3 linked regions of the Drosophila melanogaster genome follow. The protein of the gene in region 3 binds, or shares a complex with, the protein of the main gene of each other region. Each region holds a gene or a part of one and is shown on either strand. Other genes may lie near its edges. The genes, in order: eIF3e, eIF3d2 and eIF3m.

Region 1 (5,316 bases), on a different chromosome or scaffold from region 3:
AGCAATGCCGACCAGGAGTTGCTCATCGACGAGCCACCAAAGTCGGAAAAGGTGGCGGAGCACCAGAAACCAGATATTCGTGGAGACCGGAGGAATATAGCCATACTGCTGTTCCTGTACGTTCTACAGGGCATTCCCATCGGGCTCATAGCAGCCATACCAATGTTGCTGCAAAATAGAGGAGCTAGCTACAAACAACAGGCGGAGTTTTCATTCGCCTACTGGCCATTCAGCTTAAAGCTGCTGTGGGCTCCAATTGTGGATTCCCTGTACATCCGGCGATTTGGACGCCGGAAATCGTGGCTAGTCCCAGTGCAATACCTTCTGGGAGCCTTTATGTTACTCCTCTCCCTCCACGTGGATCGCTGGCTGGGCGGGAACGGTGTCGATCCCAATGTGCCGCTCCTGACGCTGCTCTTCTTCCTGCTTAACTTCCTGGCTGCCACTCAGGACATCGCCGTGGATGGCTGGGCCTTGACCATGCTGAAGCGATGCAATGTTGGATACGCATCCACCTGCAATAGCGTGGGCCAAACAGCTGGCTACTTCTTGGGCTATGTGGTGTTCATTGCCCTGGAGTCCAAGGATTTCTGCAACACCTACATAAGAGACGTGCCACTCGAGGATGGCATGATCACATTGCCCCGTTTCCTTTGGTTCTGGGGCATTACATTTGTGGTAGCCACTACTTTGGTGGCAATTTTCAAGAAGGAGAACGACATCGAAGACGCGCATATGGACGCTCGCTACACGGAGGAGCACGAGTTGAACATCCATGAGAGCTACAAGATATTGTGGGACATGGTGTGCATGCGTCCCGTCCAAATTCTGGCTGTAATTCTGCTCACCGTGAAGGTCACGTTCGCAGCCTCTGATGCAGTGACCAGCTTAAAACTCATTGACGCTGGTGTACCGAAGGATAAGCTGGCTTTACTCGCCATTCCCCTAATTCCTCTGCAGCTCATTCTGCCGCTGGCGGTCGGTCGATATACGAACGGACCACGTCCGATGGACGTCTATCTGAAGGCCATTCCCTATCGCATCATCATGGCAACAGTGGCCACTGGCTTGGCCTACATCACACCCTATATTGTCCGTGGAGGAGCCGTGCCTGCTTATTACTACGTCCTGCTGATCACCAGTTATGCCATCTACCAAGTATTCCTGTACTCCATGTTTGTGGCCGCCATGGCCTTTTTCGCCAAGATCTCCGATCCAGCCGTCGGTGGCACTTACATGACATTTTTGAACACATTGTGCAATCTGGGCGGTAATTGGCCCAACACAGTGGTGTTGTGGTTGGTGGACGTGCTCACCTGGAAGCAGTGCTCCAATAATGCGGAAAATACCTGCCAGGGCAAGGAGGAGCAACAGGTGAGTGCTCAGAGAGAGATTCTACAGCATACAAGATTATTATTATTATTGTATATGGATACATATGTATGGTGAAAGTTTTACCCCAAACCAGGAAAAGATAAACTTTGCCAGTTATGAGATAAAAGTAACTAAACAAATATTTTTCTTAATTTTCTCCCGCAGAGCTGTGAAGCGTCGGCTGGCAAGTGCGAGATAACCTTCGATGGGTACTACTTGGAGTCGGGCATTTGCGTTCTGTACGGCATAGTGTGGCTGCTGCTGGTGCGCAAATGGATCGTTTACTTGCAGGACCTGCCCGTCAGATCCTGGTTGGTGGTCAAGCAGAAATCGCGGTAGCAATCAATAGTGTGATCCGGGGCCAGATCGTCATAAAGATCCAGCACCCACTTGTAGGTACAAACAACTAATTCTAGGATTAGCAGACGTTTGCATTCTGTAGGCTAGCGAAATTACAAATTCCCGCCTTGGTATTGTTTTTTGTATAACTAATTTTGATTCCGAAGGAAATAAAATCAAATGTTGAATTGAGCGAATGAGTAAGATGTTAATTTATTCGCTCGACTGCGCGCAATCATCGGTTTTTAAAGGGTACAAAGAGTCTTAACTTAATTGTGGATAAAAAGTCAGCAACTAGTAGTACTTCCAGGAGTCGGCCGACTCCTGATTCTGCTTCTGCTTGCTCTTGCGCTCAATCAAACCTGCCAAATGCTCCGACCGCATGGACAGCGAGTCGATCTTCTCCACCAGCTGCTGATAGGGACTCAAGGGCTGGGTGCCCATCACCACATGACCCAGTTTCGAATCGATCTTGGCATTCAGACGGGCATTGCGGATAAGGTTGACGATCCAGCACTCAGCCTCGTTGGGCTTCATGTTCAGCTTATCGGCCAGCATGCTGATGGTGATGCACTGGTGGATGCGGCAGAATGTCTCGAAGATCATCAAGCGGGCATCCTCCACGAACTCATTCAGGCAGGCCACGATGAAGAAGTCGTTGAGGATCACCGTCTGGCACTCGTGCAGCTTCAGACGCGCTCCCTCGAAATCAAAGTTCACGTACAGACACTCCAGAAACTCGGTGATGGGATCGCGGTACGTGTACGACTCCTGTTGGATCACCTTGATCAAATCCTTTAGAGCATTGCGGCGGGTGCGGTTGATGACTACGGCGGTGGCCAAGTAACGCATGATGTGCGGACACATTGTCTGAATGGCGTTCAAATACAGGGGCTTGTACAGGAACATCTCAATAATGAGATCGCGTCCCTTGGGGTGATTGAAGAAGACCAGGACCGACCAGTGGATCAGCCAGGTGCGTTGCTGCAGGGCCTGGATGGTGCTGAAGTTGGCGTTGTCAATGTAGTCGCGCAAACGCGTCAGATCCTCCAGAGCAGTGTTCCAGTTGAGGGTCAGAATCTCGGCGGCCAGCTTGCCCCACAGCACATTAAGGTAGTTCTGCAAAATTTGGGAGACAATATCAATTAATATTCTTGTTTTAGTGGTTTTTGCCGCTTTTCATGTTAATTTAGCTCCATACGCACCTTGTCGTTGGGCGACATGACGATGAGGCAGAAGTACAGGTAAGAGGTGGACTCCTGATAGTTGCCGCACTCGTAGAGGTACTTGGCCAGCTTGTAGGCGCTCTCCAGGTGCTCCACCTTAAAATTGTAGTCCTTCTGAAGGGCGTTGACGAAGGTCTTCGAGTCCTTCATGCTCTCACCGTTCTTAAGAATGTCGGTGGCCTTCATGATGGGTGCCACCTCGTTCTGCAGCTGCTTAAGCGTGGCCAGGACCTCCGCCTTGCGCTGCACGAGCTCCTCGGGCATCTCCTGGCTGAGATTGAGACGCTTGCGGGTGTCCATCGTGTAATCGATCATGTTCGTCTTGTTCACCGTCTCCAAAATGTACTCCAGCAGCTCCTGCTGGTTGTAGATCTGCAACGAAAGTCACACATATGAAGATTTCCCATAGTTATGTACTGGTGACTCGGCAACCGCCAGCGGAGCACCGCCTGGTCGCTTTTCTAACCTCCTTGCCGCACAAGAACTCCAGCAGCGGGAAGGTCAAATGCCTGTCCAAAAACTGGCAATTGATGCGTGTCAGATCGAAATTGGCCATGATTGCAGCTGTTTTACTATGTTTTCACAATTAAATTTACACGCAAAATCGGCAGAAAAATACGCGTGCGAGGGCCGACAGTGTGCCCAGAGACGAAAAGAGTGACGCCCGCTCAGAGTTACCAGAGTGTGGTATTTCCACGACATTAAATACCATGACCCTGAAGCCGTATTTTTTTCAAGCTTTCAAAGTGGCGCATTTATTTAAAATAAAATTAAGTCATTGAAACAACTTTCAAAAAATACTCAATTTTCAAAATTTCTATTATCTTAGCATGGCTATTATAGCAATAAAAAATTATTATTTCAATTGTGGCGCCCAGACTGAAACCCGGTCTGGCATCACGGCGAAAAGAGGTACTAACGCCAAGACCTTTCCTGGAGGACGATATCTTCTGTCTTCTTATCGTCAGACTGGACACACTGGAACTTCAGCTCCGCTCGTAACAAGCTTACGGCATAAAACAACAAGATATTGTACTTAGTAATTAAATAAAGCGGTAACTACATAAGTTACCATACAATGAATTTAAAGAAATATTATTAAATATTTTCTACATTACAATGGTTTCTCATTCCTTTAAAGTTATACGCTTTACGTAAAATACCAATAATTTTAAATTACAAGGTATACATATAACAAAGGTTTTTAATTTCAAAAAGACGTTGCCTCTCTTTTCAAGCTATTAATAAATATATTTCCCATGCCAAATTCAAAACACAAATATCAACTCATCGGAGAAATGCTTTTTAATAATTTGAATATTTATTTCATCAAATACTTGCACATAAATATATTTATATAGAGATGTCTGTATAAGGGTATACATTTGGGTTAAATATGTTTTGTATAAATTGTGTAATTCTTTGTATTCGCACATTCAACTGCCAAAGAGCAGATTTGTTTTAACAATAGCCACTTAGGTACATTTGCGGTCAACGGTCGAATGCAGTTCAAAACACAAAAACAACATCTAAAAAATGCGTTTCGATATTGGCCGAGTTTAATACATTTCTCTTTCTGTATATACGATTTATGGATTGTATATAGGATGGTGGAGATCAGCATATCAATTTTCACTTCATATATTTCGTTTGCATAGATTAGGCAACTCAAGCTAAAACAACATTGAAAAAATGCATTTTCTAAATATTTAATGTTCAATTAATTTTCATTTTAACGATAACGGTAAGTTTCTAGTTATTGTCCTTAGATTTTTTGTTGGATATTCGATTTCCGTTAAGATATACATATTGATTGGCTTCAATCAGAATTTCAGTTTGCACTCTTAATTGACTCCTGCCGCATCATCATCATCATCATCATCATCATATGGAGGGCATCTCGACGAACCACTAACAATTCCCAGCCAGCTTTGCGATCAAAATAAAACTAAATGAAACGTGTTTCGTTTTGGTTTGGTGTGTAAAAAACTCAAGTCTTTTTAGTGTAAACTAAACTAAAATCGCGAAAATAAAAATCACAAATCGTTAAAGAATTTCGCACTATAGGCTAAGGACGATGCACGCACACAAAACTTGATATTAGCTGCTCTGGCTGCCTCTGTGGATCCTCTTTAGGATGTCGCGATGACGCCACCAGGTCCTGGAAGCCCACTGGGACGGCCGGTCAGATAGGAATCGACCTGTCGTGCGGCCTGGCGACCCTCGGTAATGGCCCAGACGACCAGCGACTGGCCACGCCGGCAATCTGCAAAGGACAGAAGATAAATTAACATTTTTGTTATGCAAAGATACAGAAATCATTCAATGATTGATGTGATTAACTCTTAATACTAAGCCTATTACTTAGTAGACATAA
Region 2 (5,316 bases), on a different chromosome or scaffold from region 3:
CATGTTCAGGTTGATTTGGGTGGCGAACTCCTGCGGCTTGAATTGCTGTGTGCCAAGGATCACGTGACGCAGGTGATCACGCGGATTCATCCTGGACACATAGCCTAACTTCAGTTGATCGGAACCAGCCAGCACAGCCTCAACGGTCCATCGAGCTAGCTTACAAGCATTGTTGCGCAACTCGGAGGCCAAGACTGCACCGCGCTGGGTGTCCAACTTCTGGCGCCACTCCACACTGTTGGTCACCTTGGAGTCCCATTCATTCAGCGCCTTGATCGAGAGGAACTGCACGTCCCCATTGGGTCCTTGGATAACCCCATTGTGCTTGCAGCGAGCAATCAGCACCACATCGTTGCCCAGATCCCACTGACGGTAGCGATAGCCAATGGAGGCAAGATCCACGCCTGGCTCCTCGAACGGATTGGGCTCCTCAAACATGAAACGTGGCTCTTGGTCGCCAATGCGAAGAACCTTTTAAAAATAAATAACATAAGATTTAAAAACGTACAATAACAAATAACATAAATTGAAACCTACTGTAAACCTACCTGCTGGCTAAAGTTGTGATTAATTAGAGTGGCCTCCATTGCCAAGCTATGTGCCGAATTGATGGAACCCTCCTCATCCATCGGAGGTTCTACTGAAGTCTCGTTGACAGTCAGCAAATCAAATTGATCATTATATCTCTTATCTAAGAACACCTTAGTGCCCAATTTCTCGACTACCACATCCCAAGAGTAATTGGAGCGTGTGCAGCACATTATGGTGGACAAGATTTCGTCGGTGGCAAAGACATTGCCCATGGTCCTCGAAAGACGACGAATAACCGGATCATCCGTGGTCGTCACGGTGTGCACAACACGATCCATCTTTTGCAATGGTTTTTCATTGCGTAAGTTGACTCGATCGTATAACTTATCATAAAATTCCAGCCATCCGCAGGTGGCAATGTCCTTACCATCTTTAATATTGGGAAGTGCCAGCTTGAGAAGGCGTGGAAAATCAATCTCCTCGATCGAAACCCAATCCGATTGCACCATCACTGAGCTCTCGCGGATTCTGGTGGGAGCATTGCGACCGAATCTGCGACCCATATTCTGCGTGTTGCGTGTATTGCGACCCTTTCCGTACTTGGTGGTACTGGCAGTTGCGCCTCCAGCCGTGGATCCCCCGAGACTTGCTATATTCGGAGTGCCACGCCCCGTGCGACCCCTGCTCCTCACATTGTTGCGCATATTGGGTCTATAGCGTCCCCGCTGATAGGGCTTGGTGGCCTTCGATCCAGTGGTGTCCACCAAATGGAAGGTGGAGTCATCGTCCTCGTAGAAGTATGCGTACTGACTGTTGTTGCCAAAGGTCGAGGCGTATTTACTGGGGAACTTCTTCTCGGGCACCATCGCAGTCCAGTCGCAGATCTTGCCCAGGCGATCACTTTTGCAGAACGGCTGGTAGGGCACATCCAATTCGGGTACCTCGCAAGGACCCCAGCCGTGCTCGTTGTACTCCACATAGGGCTTGATAAAGGGTGCGTAGTTGGACATAATCACGCCGAAAGATGTTTAAATAACCAAGAGCAAGTATTTACATTTATGTGATCCGGTTTTGTCGAGGTACAAATTACACTGAGCTGATTTCGTATGGCCGGCTTGACAGCTTGGGAAAATTTTCCAAGCCCTACGTTTGGATAATGTTATAATATGAAAAAGGCGGTTTTATCCATTAAGGAAATAACCGAATATCCAATCTTTAAATAATTTTTGATAGACAACTAAAAAGATTTCTTCAAAAGCCTATAGTAAGTAGATTGAAGCCTATTGTGAGAAATCAAAAGATACCAATTCCTCACAATAAAAGCTCAGTCTTATTTGTATTTCTAGTCACACCGAAACCCTATAAACTACACAAAGTGAGAAGTAAGACGTTTGGAGAATGAATCTTAGGAGGACGCCCTGCCCCCAATTAAACACCACCGCAACCACAATGAAGAAATGTGTAATTGCCTGTTCGTCTTTCGGTTCTCCGTCAACGTCGTGCTGCTCTCATTGGCCACGATTATTCTCATCCTCCGCATGGTGAGCTGATCCAGGATGGGCGCGGGGATCCCCTTCCAGCCGACAAATTCTTGTTTCTTATTATCTTTTATAAAAAACCCTCACTAAGCGCACAAATAAATGTTTGTTGAGCTGTGGAAATGGTACAGGAAGCGGGGTACTGTGACGGGATTATCACTTGACGACGCATCTAAGCTCACATCGACATGACTCCATTCATATGACTCCAACTCCAGCACCATTGTTCTGACCCAAGTATCAGGAAAGCAAAGGAACAACAGCGGAGTGCACTACAATGGGACGAGTGTCCTGTGTGCTGGATCTGGTCAACTTGGCTCAGTCCTCACTGTGTTCCGGTTCGGTTTCCTTATTCTTGGCTGGGAGCACCTTACAACAATCTCGTTAAGCGTAAAGGCCAAATTATAGTAAAACTAACAGAAGGCAAAAGGTAATCACATAAAAAGCTTGTTAGATAACAACGTGTGAGGCGGCGAAAAAGGAAGCGGACATCCTGCACTCCGGCTCATACCCAAAAAGCAACATGTCGAGCGTGTGAATGTGCCTGAATGTGTGGAAAATGATATGGGTGCGAGCGGGATGACAGTGGGAGTGCGGTGCCTCCGCCCCTCTTCCAGCACCCAGATCCTGAGCTAAGCTTTGTCAAGCGACAGGGTGTCATGTTGATGTGTATGTCACTGGCAGCTGCTGCTTACATGGCCCGGCTCCAGATTCCCTCGCACTTCTCTGTTGATACACTGCGAGAATATGAAGAGATAATGTCAAATGTAAGAATAGAAGACCAAGAATGCATACCAAGAATATAATAATGGGTTCTGTGGAGCAATAACAATGGGAACTTATTTTGACTGAAATAATTCCTATTTTACCATTGAATTGATTTCAGTGTAGCCATAAGCCGTGGATGAGTGTGCGTCTGAGTGAGTGTATGTGTGTGTGGATTATAATTGCCATGCGGCTGTCAGTGACTGCAGGCGGCGCCTAACTGCACACAGCTGCAGATGTGCGGCTCGTGTTGCAATATCATTTTTAATGCAAACCGCATGCCACATTATGCAGCTGCATTGCCACGTCACCGCTGCGGTTTCTCCATCCCCATCCGCCTTCCGCTTTCCAACCTCCGGATTTACCCTCTCATCTCCAGCTCATCTGCAATCGCTCCTGCCGCTGAAGCTTTTCTTCTGCCACTGCCGGTCTTGTAGGAAAAAGCGGTAGCGGCTTGGTGAAAGGAACACAGCCAAGAATAATGCCCTGGCACATAAGTAAGTACTTACCCAGCGAACAAAAGCAACAAGAACAACAAGAACGACAACAACAACAGAAACTACTACTAGTACTAGAGCAACCAACAAAAATAACAACAGGAGAAGCAAAGTGAAAAACCGCTTGCATACTTTGCGGGGCTCGCGAGCGATAAACGACGCCACTGCAGTGCACTGCCGCCCGCCACCCGCCACCGCCAAACACCTCATCCTCCCCAAAAGGGTATGCTATATTATGAGCACGCGATCCAACTGAAAGTGAAATTAAAAACACATTTTCACAGCACAATTTATATTCAAAATTACTGGGAATTAATGCGCGGAATCGATGGTATTTTGCATTTTTATGGCGACAAATATTGATAACAAGACGGAACACTTAAGCAAAGCTATGGGGTGTCGTTTCAGCCGGTGATATCTATCTTCCTTTGAAAAATACCCTAACTAAATCAATACATTATCCGAAACTGTTTAGAATAAGAAGTTAAATGGCCTATAATAAAGCCCTATGCGTTTTCATAAGCCAAAACGTTAATCAGCTTAAGACAATACCGTATTTATACTTAAGTTTAACAATAAGTATATATATTAATATGATTCCTACAGCGTACCATAGTCAAACTCATTTGATATTAAATATTAAACAAGTTGTCTACCCTTAGAGCCGAGGGTATCAATCAATCGGTGCTCAATTTATTATTTCTGATTTTGTATGGCTCCAACGCGCGTCGGAAACTCGGGCTGCTTCTGCAGCTTTTGTGTTGCATAAAAATTAAAATTTATGCCAGGCAACTTGTGCAAAGCACTGCAATGCCATTGTTTTTCATTCCCCACCCCCAGGATGCTCCTCCACTGCTGATGTTTTTTTGGCGGCGGAAGGACATTCACGTTCTGGGTGGCTGCATTCATTCCCAGCACCCACCCCGACTGCCCCTTCCGCCTACTTGTCAAGCCCACTTACATTCAATTCATTCATCTCCGGCAGAGAAATGAAAATAAAATCCCCCAAAGCTACCTCCTTCTCCACGAAGGCAGGCACCAACGTAATTGCACAGCAATTATACATACTTCCATCGACAAGATGGATACGTAATTAATAGCACATTAAATTGGGCCACAACAATATTAATTGTTCTGATTGATTTATGCAGGTAATTAACGTTTTAACCAACTGAGGGAAATAAATTTCGTCGGAGGGGCGAGCTGTTCTCTTCCACTCATAAATTTTGTCACATCAATCAAATTAAACAGTTCGATACAGTAAAACAGCATGAACGACAAATAGGCGTAGAATCCATCAGGTGTAGGAGTTCTCAAGAATCGGCGAGGGTCTAATATTGGGAATGTCCAGGCGGGTTTTTGGCCTCAGTATAAAATCATTCCGATTGTTCCGAAGAACTCCGATCCATCCCCCAGCATTCCAGCATTTTTCTGGTGGCGTCTTTCGAACTTCCTTTAGGAGTTTCTGCGATTGTCAGGAACACCGAAGAATGGATCTACCAGAGGGAATACTTATGGGCTTTGGCAACCCCCTGCTGGACATCACCTGCACCGTTGAGGATAATGTGATCCTGGAGAAGTACGGCCTGGAAGCAAATGCTGCGATCATTGCTGATGAAAAGCACGATGCCCTGTTTGATGAGTTGATGAACATGGAAAATGTCATCTATTCGGCGGGTGGAGCCTGTCAGAACTCGATGCGGATCTTCCAGTGGATCGTGCAGACACCATTTCGAGCTGTGTTCATAGGGTCAGTGGGCAAGGATAAGCTAGGTGATCGCATCGAAAAGAGGGCCAAATCCGATGGCCTGCTAACACTTTATCAGCTGAAGGAAGAGCTGCCGACAGGTATGATCAAATTTAGTAAAAGAAAAATACCTAGCTGAGCACCTTATGAATAATAAAAAGTTTTGCATAACAAATTAGCTACATTTCATTCGTTTTCATTTCTCAGGCTCTTGTGCTGTGATCATCAACGGTCCAAA
Region 3 (5,316 bases):
TGGCCGACGACATTTGGCCAGAATCGGAGCGAGTGTCATTTTGCTACAAGGAACGATATAGCCTTCAGCAGGAGAAGAACGATCCAGACAAGCCCAATTGCCACGCCAAGGATGGCAATCCTTTTGGTCCCTTTTGGGACACTTTTCACATAGACTTTGTGCGGTCAGAGTTCTATGCGCCACTTCATTTTGATGTGCATCATAGCAACGAGGCTGCCAAGTGGCAGACCAAATATCCTGCAGAATCATATCCCGTACTCGCGTTCACCGGAGCTCCGGCTAGTTTTCCTGTTCAGCTAGAGAACTGCAAGCTGCAGCGCTACTTGCAGTGGAGTCAACGGTATAGGGAAGCATCTAAGGATTTCATCCGAGAGCAGTTGCCTCGGGGTGCCTTTTTGGGCATTCATCTGCGCAACGGTATCGATTGGGTGAGAGCCTGTGAGCACGTCAAGGATAGCCAGCATCTGTTTGCCTCGCCGCAGTGCTTGGGCTATAAAAATGAACGTGGTGCACTCTACCCGGAGCTCTGCATGCCCTCCAAGGAGGCGATCATCCGCCAGCTAAAGAGAACCATTAAGAACGTGCGCCAAACTCAGCCGGACAACGAAATCAAATCAGTTTTCGTGGCGTCAGACTCCAATCACATGATTGGTGAACTAAACACGGCCCTTAGTCGCATGGGCATCAGTGTGCACAAGCTGCCGGAGGATGATCCTTACCTGGACTTGGCCATTCTCGGACAGTCGAACCACTTTATCGGCAACTGTATATCCTCTTACTCGGCATTCGAAAAAAGGGAACGAGATGTGCACGGTTTTCCATCGTACTTCTGGGGATTCCCCAAGGAAAAGGATCGTAAGCATACAAACGTGCACGAGGAGCTGTAATGGAGCAACAGGATTATCTACTTAAATACTCGAATAGGCTATTTTTCGGTTTTCTTTCCTAATACTAGACAGTTTTATTACATTGATTAAGCAATATTCTGGACTTCACTTCTTAAATGGTTAAGGTAAAAGTTTCAACTTACAAATTTAATGAATTTACTTTTGAATGTTACCAATATTTAGTGCTTTTAAAGAATATCAGTATATTTATGTTTTATTCTTTTAGCTTTAATTCTTAAAAAGGATTTTAATGAAACCCGTTAAATGCCTTCAAAAACACTACAACTTAATTGTAAGCTATTAAAGTATTCCTCGCATTTATGAAAACACTTGTTTGCTACCGATTTTACTTATAAATTTATTCAAGTTATCCAGCCCTCTCGCATTCTTGAAAATAATTTAGGTCGTCACTCCAGTGCCCCGAGGCCAGCATTTGTTCATCATCAGTGCAATTTTTTGGAAGTGGTGCGCCTAGTGTATCAGCTTCTGGGATCGAGCCAGATCCAGTTGCGCCGAGGAGACGCTCGTTAGACCCTCGCGCACTGTGCTGAGGTTCTCCTTCCATGCCTGCAGCAAATCGCGAAGCTGCTCCCATTGTGGTGCTCCAAAGGTTCGGTGCATTGTCGATGAGATGTGTACCTTTTGATTGGCCTGATCTAGTCGTGCGCGTACCAGCTTTGTTTTCAGCACCTCGATGACGAAGGGCTCCACCTCGTCTTCGTTGATCTGCAGCTCCTTGGTAAGCGTTTCGAATGTCATCTCCGGGCTGCTCTCGGCCAGCTGCATGAAGGTCAGCAGACGCATCTTCTTCATGTTCTGCTCATGGTTCAATCCTTGCGAGTTGACAAACTCCCTGTGATCCTCGTAGAACTGCACGTACGCTGGCAGCTTCTCGGACACGAAGATGGACAGCAGGTCGTGGATGAGGTCGCCTTCCAAAAAGCGCACAGGCTTCAGCGACAGCAGAGGATCCAGCAGGAATGTATTGGGGTCGGCCAAGGCAGTCACAATGCACTTCATGGCATCCTCACGGGCAACACAAGCATTGTCCGCCGTGTAGGTGCCCAGCAGCTCAATCATAACCTTGGAAGACAGCTCCAGGTTGGTGTCCTTGGTCACGTCGTGCAGCAGGCGGTACAGCTTCTGCATCTGTTCCGACGAAGGTGGGCAGTTGGCAAACTGGGATTTGAGCTGATCCACACCTGAGAAGACCTCCAGCACCTGTTCGCACTGCTTGGCCACCTGGACCAGGTGGTAGTACACATGGTAGCGTAAGGGAGAGGCGGTGTCCAGGTTGTTGAACAGACGCCACAACGACTGAAGGCACACCTTGCCCAATGGAAGATTGGGAGCCTTGGTCATCTTCTCGCAGTAGGCCAGGACAATGTTCTCACCGCGATCCAGGGGTATCTGAAATATTGAAGGTTATTTTTTGTTGCTAATATTGTATTCTGTATTACTCACCGTGATCATGATGGACACAATGCTGTTTAGAATTCCATCAATCTGCGAGGGCTCACCATCCTTAAAGCAAACGTCGCAGACGCCGATGATCTTGTGCAAATCATCCTCCACACCTTTATTGGACTTCTCCGATGAGATTTCGGCTCCCAGCTTCTTGAAATACTTGCGCAGCTCTTGCACCTTTTAATAAATTGCGAATAATATTAGTTTTGTTTTGCAGCAAGAGGAAGACATAACCTCAATTCGGGCAAGGCGCCGCCCGAATTCATGGCTAAAACAGGGCACTTTCACTCTACCTGCTCGTCCAGGGACAGGTCTATGAAAACCGGATGCGAAGTCATGGTTTTGTTAAATGTTATTCCACTTTTTTAAACAAATTCAGCTGAAAATAACACGCACACACGTCTTCGGCGCTTTGACAGCTCGAAAGGAAAGAGAGCGACCAGTGCTGCCGGCCTGGTCCGTTTCCCGCTAATAGCGATGCTCTCAAACAATTGACCGAATTAAATTAAGATGACGTTAACGTGGCCACTTAAAATATATAATATTCCTCTGAAATTCATTCAGTTCAATAAAATTAAAATAGTTATGGCTTTGCAAGTGTATTAATGCTGACATAAAAATCAATTTTATAAATGTTTTGACGGGACTCTAGCTAACAATAAATGTGGGCAAAAGTAGTGTTCCCGGATCTTCTGAAACATATAAGTCACTAAGTGACTTCTTAGCCGTACCGTTACTAACGTTCTAAAACCCGTTTCTCCTGAATTTTAAATTTACCATCCAGCAGTTATTTATTTTACATTTATCACTTTACAGTTAAGCAAAATGACACGATTTTTGTTAAATTGTTAATTTGGCGACAGTCTGGCAACTCCGCTGCTACTAAGTTATATTGCTCGCCAAATTTATATTATATTTGTATAACGGGCGAGAAGAGCAGGAGTAATGCCAGCTAATCGGGGCGGAGAATTATGAAATACACGACACACACGCAGCGTGCGGCTTCCTAGAGCCACAGAGATTCCGCAGCAGGCGGTACAACCGTTACTAGTCAACCACTATCCTCAGCAGAACTCGTGATTACATGGCTACATCGGATTTTGTTCTGGGCGGCCTGGCCTCCGTGGGGGCCACCTTCTTCACCAATCCCATCGAGGTGATCAAGACACGGATCCAGCTGCAGGGCGAGCTGGCGGCACGGGGTACCTATGTGGAGCCCTACAAGGGGATTGTCAATGCCTTCATTACGGTGGCCAAAAATGATGGCATTACGGGGCTCCAAAAGGGCCTCGCACCGGCCTTGTACTTCCAGTTCATCATCAATTCCTTCCGGTGGGGAATTATTTAGTAGCTATATTTTATAATTATTAATCATCTTGAATTTACATTCGCCAGGCTCAGCATTTATTCGGAGGCAATGGAGAGGCGGTGGATGCACAACCGGAAGGGTGAGGTGTCCTACGGAATGGGACTACTGTGGGGCGCCATCGGCGGCGTCGTGGGGTGCTACTTCTCCAGTCCATTTTTCCTGGTACGCCAATTGTGGGAATGCTGCGGGAGGTTACATAAACAAATACATAGTTTATCTAAATGAGCCGCGTGCTCATCAGCATTATGGACCTTCCACAGATAAGAGACTTTATTGGCAATTGTCCATCAGTATCTAAATACTACCATTTCAAGATATCCAGGGAGAAAGTATTATACTTCCAAATATTCCATATTTTTTGACTGTTTATGGTTGTTTGCATTGCTTATTACTTTATGACATAACGCATTTATTGTTAGCCTATTTATACCAAGACATTTTCAAGATCTAGAAACAGAAAAATATTCGCTAAATAACTTAATAAGTATTGTAAACATTAACATATTATCACAGTCAATTCTCTTATGTACAATGTCTATATTTCTATATTATTATTTATGGTCCTTTCTTTTGCATCCAGATCAAAACTCAGCTGCAATCACAAGCCGCCAAGCAAATCGCCGTTGGCTACCAACATGCCCATACTTCCATGACAGATGCCCTGCGTCAGATCTACTCCAGGAATGGAGTACGAGGACTGTGGAGAGGATCTGTGGCCGCATTGCCCAGGGCGGCTTTGGGATCAGGTGCCCAGATAGCCACCTTTGGTAAGACCAAAGCCCTGTTGGTCCAGTACGATCTGGTGACCCAGCCCACGTTGAACTCCTTCTCGGCTGGCTTGATAGCCGGATCCATTATGTCGGTGGCCATAACGCCGCCAGATGTAATCACCACGCGTCTGTACAATCAGGGCGTAGACGCCGAAGGACGCGGTCTTCTTTATCGCGGTTGGCTTGACTGCTTTGTGAAAATCCTACGATCAGAGGGCGTTTATGGTATGTACAAGGGGTTCTGGGCCAACTACTTGCGCATTGCCCCCCACTCAACCCTTGTGCTGCTATTCTTTGACGAGCTGGTCGCCGTACGCACAAAGTATAGTAATCAATGACCCCAAAGATCACTGGCTAGGTAGCATTAATTTAAGTACAAAATTGTTAAAATCGTTTTTACCACCCGGAAATATACACATTGCTTTTTATTATTAAGCCAAGCTTTGATAAACAAATTTGATATGCAAGTGCCGCCGCATACAATTTGTTTGTCTAAATCTGGCTTTAGTCTTTAGTGAGTTAGCTTAATGTCCTAGTTCCAATCTCTTAGATTAGCAAAGCCCCAGAACCAACTTGTGCCTTCATTAAGCTAATTTAAGAGCTCTTCCTGTAGCCATTAACCGTGCAATATTTTGGTGAAATAAACCAGTTTAACTGTTACATTTTAACGCATATTGCTCTCAAGTCTTAAGCAGCTAGCTTATCGCAAGTGTGGCGTTAGTGATCACTAGATTGTGATACAGAACGGACGTCTCATTGATGGCTACGTCGGATTTTGTGCTGGGCGGCGTGGCTGCCATGGGCGCTGGTGTCTTCACCAATC

What was found.
Region 1: eIF3m (region 3) and eIF3e share a complex: the UniProt entries of both Drosophila melanogaster proteins name them as parts of the eukaryotic translation initiation factor 3 (eIF-3) complex.
Region 2: eIF3m (region 3) and eIF3d2 share a complex: the UniProt entries of both Drosophila melanogaster proteins name them as parts of the eukaryotic translation initiation factor 3 (eIF-3) complex.

What each region holds. Positions count from the first base shown.
Region 1 is NT_037436.4:16,783,339-16,788,654, forward strand, and holds eIF3e (eukaryotic translation initiation factor 3 subunit e), read right to left. Parts: upstream 3,604-5,316; 5' UTR 3,496-3,603; coding exon 3,406-3,495; intron 3,312-3,405; coding exon 2,919-3,311; intron 2,833-2,918; coding exon 2,008-2,832; 3' UTR 1,904-2,007; downstream 1-1,903. Other genes in the region: CG9706 (uncharacterized protein), read left to right, coding at 1-1,374, 1,540-1,713; CG9674 (uncharacterized protein), read right to left, coding at 5,072-5,205. UniProt on the Drosophila melanogaster protein: Component of the eukaryotic translation initiation factor 3 (eIF-3) complex, which is involved in protein synthesis of a specialized repertoire of mRNAs and, together with other initiation factors, stimulates binding of mRNA and methionyl-tRNAi to the 40S ribosome.
Region 2 is NT_033777.3:12,193,412-12,198,727, forward strand, and holds the start of eIF3d2 (eukaryotic translation initiation factor 3 subunit d2), read right to left. Parts: upstream 1,601-5,316; 5' UTR 1,542-1,600; coding exon 549-1,541; intron 472-548; coding exon 1-471. Other genes in the region: CG43450 (uncharacterized protein), read left to right, coding at 1,930-2,076; Adk1 (adenosine kinase 1), read left to right, coding at 4,675-5,179, 5,286-5,316. UniProt on the Drosophila melanogaster protein: mRNA cap-binding component of the eukaryotic translation initiation factor 3 (eIF-3) complex, which is involved in protein synthesis of a specialized repertoire of mRNAs and, together with other initiation factors, stimulates binding of mRNA and methionyl-tRNAi to the 40S ribosome.
Region 3 is NT_033778.4:14,161,840-14,167,155, forward strand, and holds eIF3m (eukaryotic translation initiation factor 3 subunit m), read right to left. Parts: upstream 2,987-5,316; 5' UTR 2,693-2,986; coding exon 2,648-2,692; intron 2,532-2,647; coding exon 2,352-2,531; intron 2,298-2,351; coding exon 1,359-2,297; 3' UTR 1,227-1,358; downstream 1-1,226. Other genes in the region: O-fut1 (O-fucosyltransferase 1), read left to right, coding at 1-887; CG8323 (uncharacterized protein), read left to right, coding at 3,439-3,686, 3,750-3,885, 4,304-4,831; CG18327 (uncharacterized protein), read left to right, coding at 5,253-5,316. UniProt on the Drosophila melanogaster protein: Component of the eukaryotic translation initiation factor 3 (eIF-3) complex, which is involved in protein synthesis of a specialized repertoire of mRNAs and, together with other initiation factors, stimulates binding of mRNA and methionyl-tRNAi to the 40S ribosome.